Rattus norvegicus: one gene and its partner. The protein of the gene in region 1 interacts with the protein of each later gene in a biochemical or structural test. Links are inferred from orthologs where the notes say so. Each region holds a gene or a part of one and is shown on either strand. Other genes may lie near its edges. The genes, in order: Sema4d and Cd72.

Region 1 (10,889 bases):
GCATTGTTTAAATCTGGTACTGTCGTACCCCAGTCTACCCCATCCCCACCCCCAAAAGTACAGTTTGGGAGCCTTTAATAAAACGAGGCTGTGATGGGAAGTGGAGAATGTAGATACCGAGTCTGGGGTGTGATCTTAGATGTGGAGCCTCCGGGGTCTGGTCAGGAGGTGTTGAAATGTTTCTTTACTGCCAAACAAGATCTTCAGTCTGACTTCAGGGTGTAGATGATGGGGGCCTTTTGTCGGGTGTCTTTTCATGGGGATGCTGGCCAGTGATACTGGGCATTTTTTTTTTTTGAAGCCCTTTGATGTGGAGTCAGACCCTGGGGTCTGAGATATGAGACAGCCAGTTTCTCCTTGGGGCTCCCCAGGAGTCATAATCTCGGCATCCTTCCAGTGGCTGACACTGGCCGGTTTGTCCCTTGTTTAAATCAGCAGATACTCTGGTTTCCCAGACCACTCGCCAGCAGGGAGGCCTCACCTGGCTTTCTCTGTGGCTACCTTGGTGAAGCTGAGAAGGGTGGCAGGCATCATCTGGGCCTGGAGTTCCCGTGTGACACGCACTCTATAGATGTCCTAGAAGGGAAGCCGCCAGGTGCTAAGGCTGCGCTTGCTAGCCTGTGGTACCATGGGGAGCAGGTAGAGGGGTGGCACGGTGGCTCCGTGTACAGAAACGATCCTGATGCCACTCCACAGAGCCTAGCTTCGTCTTTGCTGACGTGATCCACAAGAGCCCAGATGGTACAGAGGCTGAGGATGACAAGGTCTACTTCTTCTTTACGGAGGTGTCCGTGGAGTACGAGTTCGTCTTCAAGTTGATGATCCCGCGAGTTGCCAGGGTGTGCAAGGTGGGTGCTGCCTCCCCTGTCCCCACTCACACTCCTGCCGTGGATGCTGCCTCTCCAAGACTCCTCCCTCTGGAATCGCAGCCTTATCCTATGGGTAGAGACCCCGGTGGTAAAGTTTCATGGATAGTTGAGGCACAGTAAGAGACTCAACAGTGACAAGTGATAAAAGATAAGAGATTTGTGTGAACGGTTTCTCTTGACTCCCGGAGTAGGATCGGGAAGATGGCTTAGTGGTTAAAGTGCTCGCCACGAAAGCAAGAGGAACAGAGTTCAAATCTCCAGAACCTATAGATGCTGAGTGAACCCCCTGTAATTCTGACTTAGAAAAGTGGAGATAGGGTCTCACTGGAGCCAACCTGCTAGTGGGACTCTCCTCGTTGGCAAGCTCTGAGTTTGACTGTGAGACTTTGCCTCAAAGAATAAGGTGGATGGGACCTGACATCAACTTCTGGCCTCCATACCCACTGAGACACGAACACTCATGTAGAAGTGCACCATACACACACACACACACACACACACACACACACACACACACATACACACACACACACAAAAGGAAGGAAACTCAAAGGGGAAAAAAGAACCAAGGTGAGCATTTGTGGTATTTTCAGTATGACTAGTCACAGGGTAACTGAAATTGCAGGAAACCAAGACCACTCACACGGGAGCTGGCTTATTTCTTTCCAGCTCACGGTTGGGTGCAGTTGGTAATTGTTTCCGTTGTCTCCGTTGTCGACTCACTGAAAAGACTCAGGGCTCTAGAGCTTTGTCTGGAATCAAGGAGGCAGAGAGGGCAGGAAAGGAGCTCTTAGTGGACACTCAGATGTTTGCCCAGAATGGTCTGTAGGGCTGAGGTCTGTGGTGGGAACGAGGCCACCCATCATATGCTTATCTCCCGTGTGCTCCTCCCTGGGTCACAGCTGGGAAGGCTGCAGGAGCCAAAGCCAGTGGCACGCTGGGGTGACACAGATGTGGTTGTTTTGGTTGTCACTGAATGTGCCTGGCTCTTTTCTCGTTCTGTGACCCTGGCCCACATGGAAGTTTGCTTTGGTGACATGGCTTGTCTGCAGCAGTCTTGGGCTGGGCTGGTGGCTGGGGACATATGGACGCCTGCTTCTGTGGTTGGCCATCTGTGCTGCCTCTACTGTGTACTGTCTCTGGAATTCCAGGGCGACCAGGGCGGCCTGCGGACTTTGCAAAAAAAGTGGACCTCCTTCCTAAAGGCCAGACTGATCTGCTCCAGGCCAGACAGTGGCCTGGTCTTCAACATTCTTCAAGATGTGTTTGTGCTGAGGGCCCCGGGCCTCAAGGAACCTGTGTTCTATGCGGTCTTCACCCCACAGCTGTGAGTTAGCTCCCTTGGCACTTGGGGCCTGTTCACGCCGATGACCCCCTGCCCTCCTGACGCGCTCACGAATTCCCCTCCACAGGAACAACGTGGGTCTGTCAGCGGTCTGTGCCTACACGCTGTCCACGGTGGAGGCCGTCTTCTCCCGAGGAAAGTACATGCAGAGTGCCACAGTGGAGCAGTCTCACACCAAGTGGGTACGCTACAATGGCCCAGTGCCCACTCCCCGGCCTGGAGCGGTAAGCAGGGTGTCAGGATCTGGGGAGGGCTCATCTTTTCTCTGGATCTCAAGGCCCCACGCATGAAACCACACAGGTCCCAGAGCCTCCTAGCAGCAGGTTGCATGGCAACAGGAATCTGGGCGCCGGGCTGAGTGGCTGTTGGGCCTAGGGTGAAGAGTGAAGCTATTCTTTTCTCATTTCTTCTGTGTTGGGTAACAGGTCTCACTGCCTGCTGCCCGGACGAGAAAGCGTACCACCGGGCTCTTTTGAGAAACGGGCATTGCACAATGGCCGGCTTGCTTCATTTTCTGTTTCCCGCAGAGAAAACCTGTTTGTCAGCATAGCCTAGGCCGTCTCCTGAGCCTGCCTGTCAGCTGGATAATAGGAACCATATTCTTTCCTCCTAGAGACAGTAAATTTGTAAAGAAATTTCTAGGGTTGCTGAACGTTGTTGCCACACTGTGAGTGGGCATGGGGCAGGGTGGCGTTTGGATAGCACCCTGTCTGGCTCTTGAGGCTCTCCCAGGTCAGACCTCTCTGTGGGTGTCTAGCCTTGACCCCTGGTTATTCTTACCTGCGCGCTGTGTTCAATGAAACATGGAGAGAGGGGGCTGGGACAAAACAAAAAAAATCTTTCCAACCTTGTTTTCTTTCGTGCTACCTAGGTAGAATTTGGCTCTGTGTGTGTGTGTGTGTGTGTGTGTGTGTGTGTGTGTGTGTGTGTGTGTGTAAAACAATATTTAACAAGCTTCCTTTGGCACACTTTCTTCTCGAGCTCTCTTCTCACAGAAAAGCTGCTAAATGCATGCTTTTTAATTTGAGAAGTTTGCTGAGTGTTTTCATTGACTACTAATTTCCTTCACCGACCCTGAGACAAGTATGTCACGTGACTGTGATTTAAAAATACAGCTCTTTGTTTCTGGGGAAGCCACCTTCGCCCGTTAGTCTTGGGAGAAGTGTGACTGGGGCCCTTCAGGGCTCTTCTTCTGTGCTCCGTTGATGCTAAGTGGGTGTGTCTCCACGGTGCTTTTACCCCACAGTGTATCGACAGTGAGGCCCGGGCAGCCAACTACACCAGCTCCTTGAATCTCCCAGACAAAACGCTGCAGTTTGTCAAAGACCACCCTTTGATGGACGACTCGGTGACGCCAATAGACAACAGGCCGAAACTGATCAAAAAAGATGTCAACTACACCCAGATAGTGGTAGACAGGACCCAGGCCCTGGATGGGACCTTCTACGACGTCATGTTCCTCAGCACAGGTGGGTTCCCGGGTGAGATTGGGAAATTCGCTTAGTCATTTGTGGGTAAGAGCTGGTCTCTCCAGGTGCAGGAAGGCTTGTGACAGGAGAAGAAGTTTCTGAGGCATCACAGCATCTGGAATTCTGAATCTCCGTGACTATCAGGCACCTCAGGGGCTGGTTACTAATGCAGGCTCCACACCATACCTGGGCTGGAGTGGAGTTAAATAGTCCCTGTTGTCCTGGGACCAGTGGGGTGGCCTGGTATTTCCGAATTGGTAGTGGGAGACTCCACCCCTACTGAGACTCCACCCCCTTCTGAGACTCCACCCCTTTCTGAGACTCCACCCCTACTGAGACTCCACCCACTACCGAGACTCCACCCCCTTCTGAGACTGCTCCCTTCTGGGAGCCAGGGTCCGTCCCGCCCTTAACTGCCTTTGGAAGCACAAATCTCGGACAAGTCTTCTGGGATGGTGATGGAGAGCTGGAGCTTGGCAGATGCTAGAGCCCCGGGGGCTACCCTTAGAGCTTCCCAGGTGGCTTGAACACTTTGCCCTCGCTTGCCTGGCTGGGCCCTAACCTCCCCAGTGGAGTGCAACAGCCACCTTACACCGAGTGTGGCTCAGGTGTCAGGGTGTGATCCTGTTGATGAAGGTCATTGGACTCCACCATGGGACAGAGCTGTCCTCTTTTGAGTGAGCGCCCCATTGAGGGGGTGACTTTGAGCGTGAGTGGTCGCCTTCAAGGCTGGAGTCTCTGCTGGTTTCATTTCTGTTGCCGGGCAAAATTAAAACGCCCCGACAGAAGCACACCTAGGGGAAGAGGGTTTATTTGCCTTTTATGTTGGGTATCGTCTGTCATTTTGAGGGAGTCAGGGCAGGAACTTAAGCAGCGAGTCACGTCATATTTGTAGTCTAGAGCACAGAGAAATGAATGGACCCTCGTTGTCCGCTTGCTGTGTCGCTTGCTGGGATACCTCTGCCTAGCTAGCCAGCTCTCTTCACTTAACATTGTCCACGGGATGGTGCCTTCCACAGTGGGCCAGGCCTTCCCACGTCCGTCGACAATCAAGACAGTCCTCCACAGACCTTTCAGCAGACCAAACAGATCTAGGCCATTCCTCAGTGGAGGCTCTTTCCAGACGATTCCAGGTCGCACTAAGTTGTCACTTAAAACTAACCAAGGTGGCGCCCTTGGCATTTCCCTCTAGGACCTCCTTGCTCACCTGTGTTTTGACCTTGCAGACCGGGGCGCTCTGCATAAAGCTGTCATCCTTGCAAAAGAGGTACACGTGGTTGAGGAGACCCAACTCTTCCAGGACTTCGAACCGGTCCTGTCTCTGCTGCTATCATCAAAGAAGGTAATGTGGTCTGAGGGGCAGGTCCAGGCGCTTGTCTCCCTCGGGAGCTTCTCTGTGACTAGGACTAGATAGGATGGTCTCTCAAGGCTTGGCAGCCTCTGGTCTTCCTGGCCCGGGTGAGCTGACCTTTAGACTCTCAGCAGTCTTCCATGGGATCTGAGGCCTGGGAGGAGGACGGTAGAGCCAGGGAGGTTGATGTGCTAAGCCCCTAGAGCTTTTAGGAGGTCACTAACCTGGGAAAATGTCTTTGTGCCGTGAACTTGAAAGAATGCAGACTGTGCTGCTGGGACAGGACACTCATTTTTAAGGAGAAATAGCAGGTCACCCTCTAGAGCTCCCATTGCCACACCATCCTGTGTATCCAGCTGCCTTTGCAGAGGCCTCAGTCATGGTCGCTTGGCTCTGCACTGTGGCTCCCACAAAGCCATGGAAACACATAGATGACCAAACCTGCCCTTGAACCCTTGAAGCCAAGCTCTGCGTCACCTGAGGTTTTCATAAGAAGCTTCAGCCAGGTAGTGGTAGTGCACACCTTTGATCCTGGCACTCGGGAGGCAGAGACAGGTAGATCTCTGTGAGTTCAAGGCCAGCCTGGTCTTCATAGTGTGTTCCAGGCCAGCCAGAACGATGTAGGGAGACCCTGTCTTCAAACAACAACAACAACAACAGCAAATTAACTAATTAAATATTTTTTAAACCCCTGAATGGAGCACAGTGGTTCTTCATACCTATAGTTTCAGACCTTAGAACATGGAAGATCAAGAGTTCAAGGCTAGTCTTAGCCACATCACAAAATCAAGGCCAACCTGAACTAAGTGAAACCCCATTGCAAAAGTCAAGTGATACACAAAAGTCCTTTAGGTGGTGGAGTCTATAGAAAAGGCCCAGGGGCTGGGTTTGGTTCACTGGCTGGAACTTGTTTCTTATCCACTGGCCTTGGGAAGGCCTGGACACCACATTTTACGTCTAGGATAGAGCAGTGAGATTCAGAATGTGGGCTGTCTCCCAGTCCTGATTATGCTATGCTGCCATGTGACCCTGGGCGTCACTGTGTGATCCTCATAAGGTGGTCTCTCTGTGTGTAAGCTTCTCATTAATGTGACTGTGAGCATGTGAGCCTCCTGGGTGCTAAGGACGGGCTTTGAGCAGCACTGAACCCAGGGACAACTAGGAGCAGGATCAGCGGCCACCTGCCCTGCTTCATAGCTGCTGGCCAGAGGTGCTCCCCTCTCCTTGCTAGGACTGTGCTGTAACCCACTGAACAGATGGGTCCAGGGACACACTTATGGCTTCAAGTGTCTCTGATGCCTGCCTCTGGGACACTGCTGAACTCTGTGGCCTGGTGTTACCTTTCCCTGTGGACTGCACATCTGTGGGCTCCATGTCTGCTGTTCAGTTCTCTTTAGGTAGCTGGCCACGGCAGATACCCAGGGCCCATCAGTCTCACCCGTGTGCTGGCCTCCTGCCAGCGCCAGGTACGGTGCTGACCTTGGCCTAGCAACCACATGGTACGCTCCTGTCCTGGAAGTCAGAGCCTTGTATGTGCTAAGCTCTGTGTGGTTACACACGGTGGTGGGGGTGGTATGTGTGTGGAGGGAATGGCCTATTTTTGCGGCTCTGTGCTCACAAATGCAGGCAAATGGGAAATCAAACGGCAGTGTCTCTTGCTGGGTTAAGCTTGATGGCCTTCCGTTTGTTCTTTGCACGACGTTGATAGACGTGGTCACATTGGCCTGCCGGATTCAGAGATGAATGATAAGGAAGTGTCCTTAGCACAGGTACCTACTGTCTGTCACAAGACAAGGCTGGCATTTAAAGGCTCTGCCCTGTGGCTTCCAGCTGCAGTGCTGCGTCACCTACAGAGAGTCCAGGAGAGCAGTGGGGGATGTCAAATTAGGAGTGGGAAGCAGCTGAAGAGGTCTGTTACATGGGTTTTCTCAAGACACAAATGAAAGTCTCTTTACCCCAGGCAGGGCACTGAGGACAGACCAGTCCAGCTCAGCGAGCCAGTGAGTTATGGGGGAGTTAGCTACAGAGGAAGAGGGAGGGTTGATTTACAAGCCCGTGGGTGACTCAGAGGCAGCTGCATGGACAGCCTACCCCAGCATAAGTGACATTCACAAAAGCTGCAGCGAAGGAACTCCCTGCACGACTGGTAGGCAGCTCGGCAGGACAGAGCCCCGTCTCTGACAGCACTTGTGTATTGCTTATATAGCCCTGACGGAGCGGGAGCTTGTGAATCTTATTACTTGTCAGGCTTCCTAGATTTCCTTTACTGAGAGTCTTGTGAGCCTCCCTCCGCCCTCCGGGAGGACACGTTTCAGTTGGGCAGAAACAGGAACAGAGTTGTCTTTTCTCGAAAGAGAAGCTACTTCGGGAGGGACTGCAGTACGCCCCGCCACAGGTCTAGCCCCAGATATGGAAGGGTGGCATCAGATCTGCAATTCCTTGGGTGGTGTTTGAACCCTCCTGGGGTACAGGACACCCTATATTTCCATACGAGATTTCTGTCTTAGTGTGCTTTTTTTTCTGTTGCCATGATAAACCACTCTGACCAAAAGCAGCTTGGAGAGGAAAACGTCTGTTCCGGCTCAAACATCCAGGTTGTAGTCTGTCGTTGAGGGAAGCCAGGGCAGGACCAGAGACCATGGAGGAAAATGGCTTATTGGCCAGCCCTCCTGGCTTCTGCTTAGCTACTGTTTTACAAAGTCTAGGACTATCTGGGTGCCATCCCCCACAGCAGGCTGAACCCACCTACCATTACCTAGCAAATAAGAAAATGCCCCACGGACAGGTCCTGGGTTGATCTGATGTAGGCAATTCCTCAGCCGCAGTTCTCTGCCCCGCAAGCGTGTCAAGGTGACAATGAAAACTAATTTCAGGACACTGTCGTTTAGGCCAGGGAGTCTTTTCCTCCCTGCAGTACTTGAACGCAATGTCTTCCCAGTCTCGGGACTTCCCAGTGCCCATGTCCTCCTTACACCTGCCGTCTGTCTCTCATGCACAGGGGAGGAAGTTTGTCTATGCTGGCTCCAACTCAGGAGTGGTCCAAGCTCCCCTGGCCTTCTGCGGAAAGCACAGTAGCTGTGAAGACTGTGTGCTAGCACGGGACCCCTACTGCGCCTGGAGCCCAGCCATCAAGGCCTGTGTTACCTTGCACCAGGCAGAGGGCTCTAGCAGGTATGAGTATGGTTAAGACTATGTGCGTGTGCCCGGTGCACAGGCTAGAGAGTAATGTGCGCTGTCTTTTAGGGGCTGGATTCAGGACATGAGTGGCGACACGTCCTCGTGCCTGGGTGAGTGGATCTCCTTTGTTTCCGCCCTTGGGTTGGCAAAGTTCCTGGGGCGTCAGTTCCGCGGTGTCCGGTATCCCTGTACAACTCGTTTTCCTCCTCTCCAGACAGAAGTCAAGTGTCACGCAGCAGACCTGGTGGACCTGTGGTCTTTCTCTGTCCCTTTGGTTACAGAAAGAGGGCTCACAGCCACACGGGGTATATCGGTTCACGGGAAAGCATGCCCTGTCCCACACCAAGTTCTTCTGTTCCGCTTAGCGGGGCCCCGTAGACAAAACCCGAGCCTGCTAGGAATTGAGAAGGAAGGAGTCCTTGGGTATGGTTTGATAGCCCTAACCTAAAAACAGCACTCAGGAACAGTGGGGATCAGTGTCATGCTTCGAGGAGCAAAGTCTTACCCTAGAAAGTAGTATCTTGACGCTAGGGAGACGGCTCCATTGGTAGGATCTGAGTTCGATCCCCAGAACCCATGTAACAACTGGGCATTGGTGGTCCATGCTTGTGATCCCAGCCCTAACGAGGGTGAGGCAGGTGGGTCCCTGGAGCTGCTGGCCTCACACAGCCTAGTTGGCTAGACAAGTACCAGAAAAAGACAAAGTGGGGTGGAGGTGGGGAAAACTGCTACCTGAGGGTGACACTTGGTAGATTTCTGGCCTCTTTCTATATAAACACACACTTGGCATCAGATTGCTTTCAGGCTCTCTGTGTAAGGTGACACAAATGACAAAGAATTCATGTTGAGACTTCGGCCCCCTTCCAAAGATAGTCGTCTTGTTTTCTACGTGCAAATATTCCCAAACCCAAAGCGTTTCCCATCTCCCGTATTTCAGACAACAGACACAGTTGTGATTAGTTCTGGTGTCCTCTTGGGGGAGGGGGCAACCTTGCTGATGGCTAGCTGTCAGGGAATAGCTGTCCCTGGTTGCTAGCTGGCCTGCTTCATCCATTAGCAGAAGTGTTTGTCAGCTGACTGGGTGTAGGTGGGGCTGCTGAGAATGCCCAGTCCCTCAGTCTGCTGAGTTCTCTCCAGGGCCAGGGTGAGACTAGAATTTCTCTGAGCTGTCACCAGTTTGTTCACTGTGGTGGGGTTGGAGCTGCTGTAGGGTCACGGATGTCTTTACCATGGTCCTGAAGATGGCACCTGGCCTCCAGTGGGCAGACGTCTCGTGCCGCCGTCCCGTGGGTATTAACCTGTTTTTTGAAAGCAGTTGAGCGATCAGGTGGAGGTGTGTGACGGTGAGCACATTTATTTTGATGTTCCAGATAAGAGTAAAGAAAGTTTCCATCAGCATTTTTTCAAGCACGGCGGCACAGCAGAACTCAAGTGTTTCCAAAAGTCCAACCTGGCCCGGGTGGTGTGGAAGTTCCAGAACGGCGAGTTGAAGGCTGTGAGTCCCAAGTATGGCTTTGTGGGCAGGAAGCACCTGCTCATCTTTAACCTGTCAGACGGAGACAGCGGTGTGTACCAGTGCCTGTCAGAGGAAAGGGTCAGGAATAAAACGGTCTCCCAGCTGCTCGCCAAGCACATCCTGGAAGTGAAAATGGTAGCTCGGATCCCCCCATCACCTACCTCACAGACTGCTCAGACAGAAGGTAGTAGGATCACATCCAAAATGCCTGTGGCGTCTACCCAGGGGTCCTCTCCCCCTACCCCGGCTCTGTGGGCAACCTCCCCCAGGGCTGCCACCCTACCTCCCAAGTCCTCCTCCACCGGCACGTCCTGTGAACCAAAAATGGTCATCAACACGGTCCCACAGCTCCACTCGGAGAAGACAGTGTATCTCAAGTCCAGTGACAACCGCCTGCTCATGTCTCTCCTCCTCTTCCTCTTTGTCCTCTTCCTCTGCCTCTTTTCCTACAACTGCTACAAGGGCTACCTGCCCGGACAGTGCTTAAAGTTCCGCTCAGCCCTGCTGCTCGCAAAGAAAAAACCCAAGTCAGAGTTCTCTGACCTGGAGCAGAGTGTGAAGGAGACGCTGGTAGAACCTGGGAGCTTCTCGCAGCAGAACGGCGACCAGCCCAAGCCAGCCTTGGATACCGGCTATGAAACCGAGCAGGACACTATCACCAGCAAGGTCCCCACCGATCGAGAGGACTCGCAACGTATCGACGAGCTCTCCGCCAGGGACAAACCGTTTGATGTCAAGTGTGAACTCAAGTTTGCAGACTCGGATGCCGACGGGGACTGAGGCCAGTGTGTCCCAGCCCGTGCCCCTCCGTCTTCGTGGAGAGTGTTGTGTTGAACCTATTCAGTAGCCGAGTCTTGTCACTGTGCACCAGCCTCAGTCTTTTGTCCCTTTCTCTCTTGGGTTGAGCCTGTGACTTGTCCCCTTTGTCCTTTTGGGAAACAAGTATCTATTCAAGCCTCAAGTCCCGGCAGTTTTTGGAGCGCTTACTACACACCTGAGCCCTTTGTGTCCTGGGGGAGAGATGGCCACCTCCGTGGGCTGAGAAGAACCACCCCTTCCTCTTCCGCTCCTCGAAGCAGCCACTGAGAGATAATTTAATTCCAGATTGGAAATGACCTTTTTGGTTTATCAGATTGGTAACTTAATCTCCTGCCATCCGGGT
Region 2 (9,816 bases), on another chromosome or scaffold:
CACGCCACCCCCCTCTTACAGCCTATCCTATCCTTTTCATCGACTTTCAGGTTCATGGGGGTCTGTGTGCACCAAGGGCAGCTGCACGCGCTTACAGAGGTAAGCATTGAGCATAGGCCAGGAAACAGGGAAGGAAGGCACCACACCTCCAAGTGAAAGTGTCAGTCAGTGATCTTGGTGGATCTGCTAGGAAATTAAAAAGAAGCCACCTGCCTGCCCAGGACCTCAGGACCTCCTCCAACTGGAGGCTTCCTGAACTTCTCTTTTGGGCAAACCACTTATTAGAATCCTCAGCTGGAGTTATTCCGTCTATATCCCTGGGAACAGTGCTGGCCTGCCAACACAGGATCCCCTAACTACACATGGAGTAGCCTAAAGCAAGAGCTAGTGTAACAGAAGAATGTCTGATTGTATTTAAATGTATTGGATGACATAGCTGCACATAGTCCTACCTTGGGAGACAGGGCAGCCTAGTATATAAATGGGAACCTTAGAGCACAGACTCACCCATCTGTTCTTTGTGAGCCTCCTGAGTGTCAACTCTCTCAGGAGTGGCAGACATAGAATACAGACTGAAGCCCCTTCTCTTTCCCCTATGTCCCAGTATATGAATGGGGGTACCCTGGAACAGCTGCTGAGCTCCCCAGAACCCCTCTCCTGGCCAGTCAGGCTCCACCTAGCACTGGACATTGCACAAGGCCTACGGTACCTACACGCCAAAGGTGTGTTTCACCGAGACCTCACATCCAAGGTAGGCTGGCCAAGGTGGGTGGAACGATGAAAGAGGATTTGGAGCTGTTAAGTTGTAATTGGCCTGTGGATGTTGGCATGTGGGTAGAAGATATGTTAGAATGTCGGGGTGCCAAGGCATTGGAAAGAACGGGGACAGCAGGAGGGCTGAGGAACTGAGTATCACACTGACTGCTGAGTGATACTGCAATGATGAGGTGCCTTGGAGAACCGGGAGGGAAGGTTGGAGTAGTGCTTAGTGCTGTGGTGACACGGGGCTTTGGGGTCTATACTAGAGGACCAGAGAGCAGGGGATGGGTGTGTGAGGATGCTTGTGTGTGTGTGTCAGAACTGTCTGGTCCGACGGGAAGACGGAGGCTTCACAGCTGTTGTGGGTGACTTCGGACTGGCTGAAAAGATCCCTGTGTATAGGTAAGATGGCCACCCTTCTTACCCGGAGCCTCCCAGGGTTGCCCTACGCCAGTGGTGCTTTCTGTGGGTGGAGAGGAGGCTTACCCCATCCCCTTTCGTCTGGGGATGTCTGAATAGAAGATTCTGACCACCCTGCCTCTGCAGGGAAGGGGCAAGGAAGGAGCCATTGGCTGTGGTGGGCTCCCCATACTGGATGGCCCCAGAGGTATTGCGGGGAGAGCTGTATGATGAGAAGGTAAGAGCCTCAAGCCCCCCAGAGACCTTGAGAGCCCCCATCCAACAGCTCTGTTATATATGTGGAGCCCCCGGCCTTGCCCCTTACCCCTCACTGCCACCCTTCCAACCCAAGATAAGTGCTGACTCCTCCCCCTTGGCATGGCCCACTTCCCTCCAGGCCGACGTCTTCGCCTTTGGGATTGTCCTCTGTGAGCTCATCGCCCGAGTACCTGCAGACCCTGACTACCTACCCCGTACTGAGGTGAAGTAACCTCCACTGTATGTGCCTCAACCAAGAAGGGCTCTGTGGGGTCGATTCTCACAGTGGGGCACAAGGAGAGCCCACTGAAGGCTAACTTGGCAGCCCCTCCTCTGTCCCCACAGGACTTTGGTCTGGATGTGCCTGCTTTTCGAACTCTGGTGGGAAATGACTGTCCGCTACCTTTCCTGCTTCTGGCCATCCACTGCTGCAGCGTAAGTGTTACCCCTGCCCTGCCCCTAACCATGAGTTGTCTTCTATGTCTGGGGAGATAGTGGAGGAAACTCACCATCTTCTGAGCCCTGAGCAAAGCTGTCTTTATCCATCAGATGGAACCCAGCGCCCGTGCCCCTTTTACTGAAATTACCCAGCACCTGGAACAAATCCTGGAGCAGCTGCCTGAGCCCACGCCCCTCGCCAAGATGCCCCTTGCCAAGGCTCCCTTGACATACAATCAGGGTACGTGAGCATGACCTTGACCCAGCAGAAGTCCTTCTGCCTCTCCTGAGAATCAGTTATCTGGAGGAGGCTAATTGGATCTATGAGTTAAAAGGTAGGCAGTCAGGTGGGAGGGTGGAGAGGCATCTCATAGAAGATGGGTTTTTATTGCTAGAGCCCAAGGAAGCAGAAAAGGGCGGTAGAAAGGTAGCTGGAGGGGCTGGTGAAATGGCTCAACAGGTTCAGTCATTTGCATAAGGACCTGAGATCCATCACTGGGATCTACATCATGGAAGCTAAAAACTAACACCTGAAAGTTGTCCTCTGACCTCTGACCTCAGTTGACAACTTCAGTGTCCTGTGGTTCATACAGACTAAACAAGGTAGCGGGAAATAACAGTCATCCCTTCCAGAGCACCTGTAGGCTTCCCTTTCTTAAGCTCATGTCCCACCACCTTCCTGGGGATCGAGGGCCTCAGCTCTGCACAGATGCTGAGGACAGTGATCTCACACCTCTCTTTCCACAGGGTCTGTTCCAAGAGGAGGTCCCTCTGCCACGCTTCCCAGGTCAGACCCCCGGCTCTCCCGAAGCCGGTCAGACCTCTTCCTGCCACCTTCACCAGAATCACCCCCCAGTTGGGGGGACAATCTAACACGAGTCAACCCCTTCTCACTGCGGGAAGACCTCAGGGGTGGCAAGATCAAACTTCTGGACACACCCTGCAAGCCGGCCACTCCACTGCCCCTGGTGCCACCATCACCACTGACCTCTACCCAGCTGCCCTTGGTGGCCTCTCCAGAGTCCCTGGTCCAGCCTGAGACTCCCGTCCGCCGCTGTCGTTCACTCCCTTCATCCCCTGAGCTCCCCCGACGGATGGAAACTGCACTGCCAGGTCCTGGCCCGTCCCCCGTGGGCCCCTCGACTGAGGAAAGGATGGACTGTGAGGGCAGCAGCCCTGAGCCAGAGCCCCCAGGGCCGGCTCCCCAGCTGCCTCTGGCTGTGGCCACTGACAACTTCATCAGTACGTGTTCCTCAGCCTCTCAGCCCTGGTCTGCTAGACCAGGACCTTCCCTCAATAATAACCCCCCTGCTGTGGTGGTGAATTCCCCACAAGGATGGGCGAGGGAGCCCTGGAACCGGGCACAGCATAGCCTTCCCCGGGCAGCAGCCCTGGAGCGGACAGAACCCTCACCACCCCCATCAGCTCCCCGGGAGCAGGAGGAGGGGCTTCCCTGCCCTGGCTGCTGCCTCAGCCCCTTCAGCTTTGGCTTCCTATCCATGTGCCCCCGCCCTACCCCAGCTGTTGCCCGCTACCGCAACTTGAACTGTGAGGCGGGCAGTCTTCTCTGCCACCGAGGGCATCATGCCAAGCCACCCACACCCAGCCTGCAGCTGCCTGGGGCACGCTCTTAGCAGTGAGGCCTGTGATCTCAGGCTTCCAACCTTGGCCTTCGGGATACCCTGTAAGGACAGAGTGCACTTGCTGGACAATGCCAGCCCCAGATGGGCTGACTGGCTCTTCTCCCCGTATAGGGGAGCCTCAGCATGGTCTCAATGGACAGAGCACTTCCTGTCCAACCCCTGGGATCACTGGACTAGACACAGCATTGCTGACACACAAGACTAACACGTGCAAATTATTTAAAAATATTTCAATAAAACTGCCTGGCTGGCTCCGGGCCATCCATCCACTCAGCGGAGCGCCCTCCCCTGACCCATCTCTAGTTCGGGAAGTTCTTAAGGAAGGTCAAAGTCTTTTCTGGAGGCTTCTTTACTCTTCCCAAGAATAGTTTCTGGAGCAGCTTTCAAGCAAGCAGCAGGTCGCCAGACCAGAATCAGCCCTTAGCTGGGCGTGCCCAAGAGTGAGGGAGTGCTGGAGGAATAGCAGTCTTGAGAATTGGCAGGCCATAGGTTAAGGATGTAGGTCACAAGGTCTTGTTGAAGTGTCTGGAAAAATAAAGCACCAGTGAGCTCCAGTTGACTTCATTAGCCCTCATCCTATTTCTCCCCAGCTCCTCTCTGTTCCCTGCCTCGCCTGGCCCTGTGTAAGCAGACAGCCACTGGAGGTGGGGGATGAGACAAACGAGGGGACAAAGTCCTCTGGGCCTCTGTCCACACACCCATGCCTCATCTCCCTCATGCTTACCCATTTCAGTTCAGATGGATCCCATCAGGAAACCTGAGCGCCTCCAGCTCACAAATGCAGGGGAAAAGGTCTGTACACGTGTATGAGCTTTCATACCACCATGAATGGTAACATTTTATCAGGTAACATGAGCTTTGAGAATGAGAATCGGACCTGTGAAGAGTTGGGATATACTTTAGAGTCTGCAAGTCCCTCCTTTCCCTTGCTCTTTGTAAAACCTAGTCCAAAGCCTATGACCTGCTAGGGCCACATGGTTCAGGAACAGGTTTCTGAACTTCAGCTCCACAGGCCTTAAGGCCACAGAGGAAAACTCACCCAAGTCTTTTTTTTTTTTTTTTAAAGATTTATTTATTTATTATATATAAGTACACTGTAACTGTCTTCAGATACACCAGAAGAGGGCATCGGATCTCTTTACAGATGGTTGTGAGCCACCATGTGGTTGCTGGGAATTGAACTCATGACCTCTGGAAGAGCAGTCGGGTGCTCTTAACCACTGAGCCATCTCTCCAGCCCTCACCCAAGTCTTAAAAGAGGAAAGCTGCACGTAAGGAGTTGGGTGTGACTTCGTGCACCTTTACAGCACCCAGGAGTCACAGACCTCAAACCCCATGGAACATGAAGTAGCGCCCTGCTTTGGGGTCCCTGGAGCAAAACTGCAGCTACTCTGCCCTCTCCTGAGACCGGTCTAGTGCCCCAGTTGGCATGGACTAAGCAAGCTGTCTGTTTGGGCAGCCTGTCAAGGCTTAGGTCAATGCCAGCACTCCTCTGCCTGAGAAGCCTTGCTGAAATCGCTTCTCAGCCTAATTTGTTTTTAGAGATGTGGGAAGGGGTCTTGCTGTGTAGCCCAGACTGGCCTTAACTCACAATCCTACCTCAGCCTCCTGAGTGCTAGGGTTACAGGAAAATGCCATTGTAATGTAAGTATGCACTAGAGACCTCCAGGCACTATGGATGGAGTATGGAGTAAGGTGCACGTCAGTGAGATGACTTAGCAGGTGAGCACCACAGCCTGGGAGCAGTCCCCGAGACCCACACAGTAGGAGAGAACTGCCCCCCACAGCCGTCCTCTGCCTGCCCTGTGGCACCCCTCCACCAACACGTTTTGTTTTTAATATCTTAAACAAGTTAATATGTTAATCAAGTAAAAGAAACAAGAAACCACAATACCGATTTGTGGGGGAGTTTTGGGAGCAGGACTTAAGGAAGTAATATGCCTTTATAAGAAACTGAGTTGACAGGGGTTGGGGATTTAGCTCAGTGGTAGAGCGCTTGCCTAGCAAGCGCAAGGCTCTGAGTTCGGTCCCCAGATCCAAAAAAAAAAAAAAAGAAAAAAGAAAAAAAAAAAAACTGAGATGACAATACCTCCTCCCCTTCATGTTCTTCATGTTTTGTGGATAATATACAGTATGGCTCATCTGCTCAATCCAATATGACTTTGAACGATCTAGCAACTTCTTTAAGCCATCAGGCAGAGAATCCTAGGGGGTTCAGAGGGGTAAGAGAACAATGAGAATACAGAGTAAAGTGGGGGCACCCTAGGGGCCTATGAATTTCACTTAGCAAGAGGCCACGCCCACTTAGTACATGAATTAATTAATTGCTCCTGCATCTATCCTTCCAGTGTTACCAGACACAGGCTCACTCTCCATCTCCCCTCCAAGCAGGGAAGTGGAGTCAGCCTGTGAACTTCCGGTCTCAGATGAGTGTCAGGGGGTTGGCACTCGGCCTGAGAGGAGTCAATGAGGAATTAAGCAGGCAAGGGGCAGGCCAGCAAGCCAAGACAGACTGAAGTGGAGATGGCTCAGACATGTCAGCTCTCACGGATGCTAAACAATAGGAGCCATGGGATATCACGGGAGTGAGAATGCCCAACTATTGCCACACTTACTGGCTAATAGTGTGACTTCCATATCTGTCTTGGGGAAGCAATGTAAACCATGGCTTGTGTGCAGATGTGCACTGCCATTCCTGACTTGATAGCACACATCTCTTTACATACCTCCACCTCAAAATATAGATAAGGTCATGCTCACTTGTAGGGAATACCTAGGAGGTTCGTTGAGCACAGCCAGTTTGGAGGACAGAGATGTGCAGTATTTTCGGCTCTCCTCCAGACTTCTGGGGGTATTTGAGATGTAAAAGCACCTTTTCTCATGCTGAACCCATCCACTTGGACAGCAGGTGTCTACAAAGCAGAAAGAATATGACAGCCACAACTCTTGGGGTAAATTGACTAATTGGCCAGCTGATTGACCCTAAGGGTCTGCTCTCAATGTCGGTTTTGTCAGCTTTAGTCCTTGATCTTTGCGATCTTTTTGCCTCTTCTGAAAACATTTTACTCCTTAATAACATGGGAAGAATTTCCTAGTGGAGTTAGTACACTGTCCCTGGGTTCTGAAACATTAAAATCTGCCCTAAACTTGCCAACCTTGCCTAGCTCCCACACTGATCAATGGGCTTCTCATTCATTCATTCACTCACTCATTCATTCCATTTAATCCCTAACACATTCAGAGGTTGCCACACTCCTCCAGCCTGTGGCCACATCTCTCTCCACAACTCTGTAAGCAGACAAACTTGGTTCCTGCTTTTCTAAAAATTATGAATATTCTCCATTTCCACTTCTCTACTTAAAAATGCTGATCTCTGTTCTTTTCCGGATTACCTGTAAGAAATGAATCCTTCTTTAACATCCAACGCCCCACTCTGCTCTTGATCACAAACGACTCTTATCAGACCTAGCCAACATTCAGAAATCATTCCCTGTCCACCGCCGGACTCTCTCTCTGTCTCTCACACATGCTATCTCTCTTCCTGTCTTCCTGTCTCTATCCTTCTCTCTTCTCCCTCTCTCCTCTCCTCTCTTTTCTTCCTCTCTCTCTCTCTCTCTCCCCTACATTTTCTTATGTCTCCATCCAGCTTCTCCCATTTTTCTGTGCTGTGGCAACTTAAAGGAATTTTTTTTTTTAGTTGGGTGTGACTGATTTGAAGAGAGTGAGAGATAAACATATCTAAAGGTAGGCAGAGCCTTGAGAACCATGTCAATGAGAGAGAAAGAAAGCGAGAGAGCAGAGACAGAGAGACAGAGAGATATAGCCTAGGCTGGGCTCAATTTCCTCATCCTCCTGCCTGAGCTTCTTAAATGCTGAAGTTACGTGTCACCATGTCTGTCTCAAGATTTTATTGTTCTATTAAGAGGAAGAGAACAATACTGTTGACTTTCACATCAAGGAATTGTGTGCTCTCTCTCCATACCTGTGTCTGGGCACACGCTCGAGTGTATTTATGCCCCATTACTGCTTGGATAACTAATAAGAATGCCATGGCCTCAACAGGGACAGCATGATCAGATTTGTGGTTTTGAAGGATTTGCCCATAACTAGGGTTGGATCAGTGGTTAGAGCACTTGGCACACAAGCATGAGGACCAAACTTAAGATCCCAGCACCTGAGTGTGGTGACTTGAATGAGAATGGCCCTCATAGGCTCATCTATTTGAATGCTTGCACCCCAATTGATACAACTGTTTGGGAAGGACTAGTGACTGTGGCCTTGTGGAAGGAGGTGGGGCCAGACTAGGCTTGAGGTTTAAAAGACTCCTGCTACCCTCAGTGAGTTCTCTCTGTCTCCTGCTTGTGGATCAAGATGGGAACTCTCAGCTGTTCCTGGTGCCTTGGCTCTACCATCAGACTCTAACACTCCGAAAACACAAGCTAATTAAAGATTTTCTTCTACAAGTTGCCTTGGTCTTGGTGTTTTGTCACAGCAATAGAAAAGTAACTAAGACACCAAGTGAATGCCAAGTGAGTAGAAGGTGGGGTCAAAGAATCCTCACAGAAAGCTGGCTATAGGGCTGGAGAGATGGCTCAGTGGTTAAGAGCACTGACTGCTCTTCCAGAGGTCCTGAGTTCAAATCCCAGCAACCACATGGTGGCTCACAACCATCTGTAATGGGATCTGATGACCTCTTCTGGTGTGTCTGAAGACAGCTACAGGGTACTTATATATAATTAATAAATTAAATCTTTAAAAAAATAAAAGAAAGAAAGAAAGCTGGCTATAGCCATATTGATGAGCTCTGGGTTTGAATAAGATACCCTGCTTCAGTGAAGAGTCTCTTCATCGACTTGTGCATGCACAAACATGTGAGTGTAACACACACTTACATGCACAGAGGGGTTGGGGGAGGGGAGAGGCACACATTTACACATGTGCACGCAGACTGGTGTCTGTAATTTGGCTATCTTAAGCTTGGCAGAAGCACTAGATACCCCAAGTCAGAAAGATTTGGACAATGTGAAGTGAGTCACTGGAGACGGCTTCCTCTTCTCTTCCCACTCATGATCTGCCATAGAGCTGGGGGCACCCCCTAAATCCAGTGTGCAGCTTGGTCCTCATCAGTAACTGAGTTCACATAGCCCAGCTCTGTATGGCTGGACAAACCCAGCCACCAGAGACTCCTAGATTCAGTCTATGTCTCACAGCCACCAGCCCCTGTCTCCCTGATCCCAGAGCAGGTACCTGACGAACAGGAGGACAAGCGTCTCAGAGTGTCCCGCGTGTTCCTCAAACTCTGGTCCAGGTCCTGCCTCCGCTGCTCCTCAGTTTTCAAGCTCTCCTTGGTCCTCTGACTCTCAGCCTGGCAGTCCTGTAGTTGCTGCTTAGTGACCTCATACATCTTCTGCTTCTCCTGAAATGTGTCCTGCGTCGAGTTCAGCTCTCTCCGAGACTCCCGAAGATCCTCCACCTTCTGCTTCAGCTGTCTTTTCTCCTCCCTGAGCTGCTGCTGCAAGCTGCTGTTGGTGGCTTCCCAAATCCTGCTCACCTGCTCGAACTGCTGAGACACCTGCAGATCTGTTCGGGTACAGACTGGTTGGGTACAGCACCGCACACCCGTATCCCAATCCAGGGAAGGCTGAGATAGCAAAGTCGAGGCCAGCCTGGGCTACATATGGAGACCCTTGTTGGGGGTGAAGCTTGTTACAGGGAGCCTTGAGGACACGTCCTCCAGCTGTACCCCGGTGCTCTAAGACTTCAGCATCAACCTTTTCTTCTTTTTGAAACTTCTTGTATAATGTCCTGAACTTAAGATCTGGCTGCCTGGAGTTTAAGGAATCCTGAACTGGATAAGGATAATTTAGGGAACACTCCAGGGTAGTCCCAGCTGGAAACCCAAAAGTCAGGGATGTCGGGACAGTGCCTTAGAGCCTTGCTAAGGAAAAGCCACTTGGCGGGAGAAAAGGAATGGTGTTTAGAATGAGTGAGGAATGGGGGCCCCCATACTCACAGCGAACTCCCAGGCAGATGATAGCCACCCCTAACATCAGACAGGCGAGGAGAAGGCCAAGCAAGGAGTATTGCAAACAGACTGTGGGACCTTAGGGGACAGGGATGATGGGCAGTCAGTCCCAGGGAAGAATGCATAGACAGTGAGACAACGGGGAGAAAAAAGAAACGGTCCTAAGCAGATTTTGACCGGCAGGAGTAAGTACTAGGGACTGCAACTGGCGAAAAGGATTGAGGGGACCTTACCTGACTGAAGAAACTAAATTTCATACAGGGAAGGGACCTGGAGGCACATGACTAGAGACCA

What was found.
Region 2: the proteins of Sema4d (region 1) and Cd72 form a complex in vitro, tested with the Homo sapiens proteins (2 studies listed by BioGRID and IntAct). The link is inferred for Rattus norvegicus from reciprocal best matches to the Homo sapiens genes SEMA4D and CD72.

The regions. Positions count from the first base shown.
Region 1 is NC_086035.1:13,661,530-13,672,418, forward strand, and holds part of Sema4d (semaphorin-4D precursor), read left to right. Parts: intron 1-696; coding exon 697-848; intron 849-2,020; coding exon 2,021-2,196; intron 2,197-2,281; coding exon 2,282-2,438; intron 2,439-3,460; coding exon 3,461-3,683; intron 3,684-4,909; coding exon 4,910-5,025; intron 5,026-8,032; coding exon 8,033-8,205; intron 8,206-8,277; coding exon 8,278-8,321; intron 8,322-9,581; coding exon 9,582-10,507; 3' UTR 10,508-10,889. UniProt on the Homo sapiens protein: Cell surface receptor for PLXNB1 and PLXNB2 that plays an important role in cell-cell signaling. Regulates GABAergic synapse development. Promotes the development of inhibitory synapses in a PLXNB1-dependent manner.
Region 2 is NC_086023.1:62,489,443-62,499,258, forward strand, and holds the end of Cd72 (B-cell differentiation antigen CD72), read right to left. Parts: intron 9,601-9,816; coding exon 9,511-9,600; intron 9,078-9,510; coding exon 8,745-9,077; intron 6,410-8,744; coding exon 6,258-6,409; intron 5,703-6,257; coding exon 5,587-5,702; intron 4,375-5,586; coding exon 4,227-4,374; 3' UTR 4,222-4,226; intron 4,051-4,221; exon of another isoform or gene 4,023-4,050; 3' UTR 3,713-4,022; downstream 1-3,712. Other genes in the region: Tesk1 (dual specificity testis-specific protein kinase 1), read left to right, coding at 51-99, 605-751, 1,079-1,161, 1,306-1,396, 1,556-1,639, 1,762-1,851, 1,966-2,095, 2,602-3,488. UniProt on the Homo sapiens protein: Co-receptor of B cell receptor (BCR) that plays both positive and negative roles on B-cell functions. Recognizes the Sm/ribonucleoprotein (RNP) self-antigen ligand, and coligation of CD72 and BCR inhibits BCR signaling.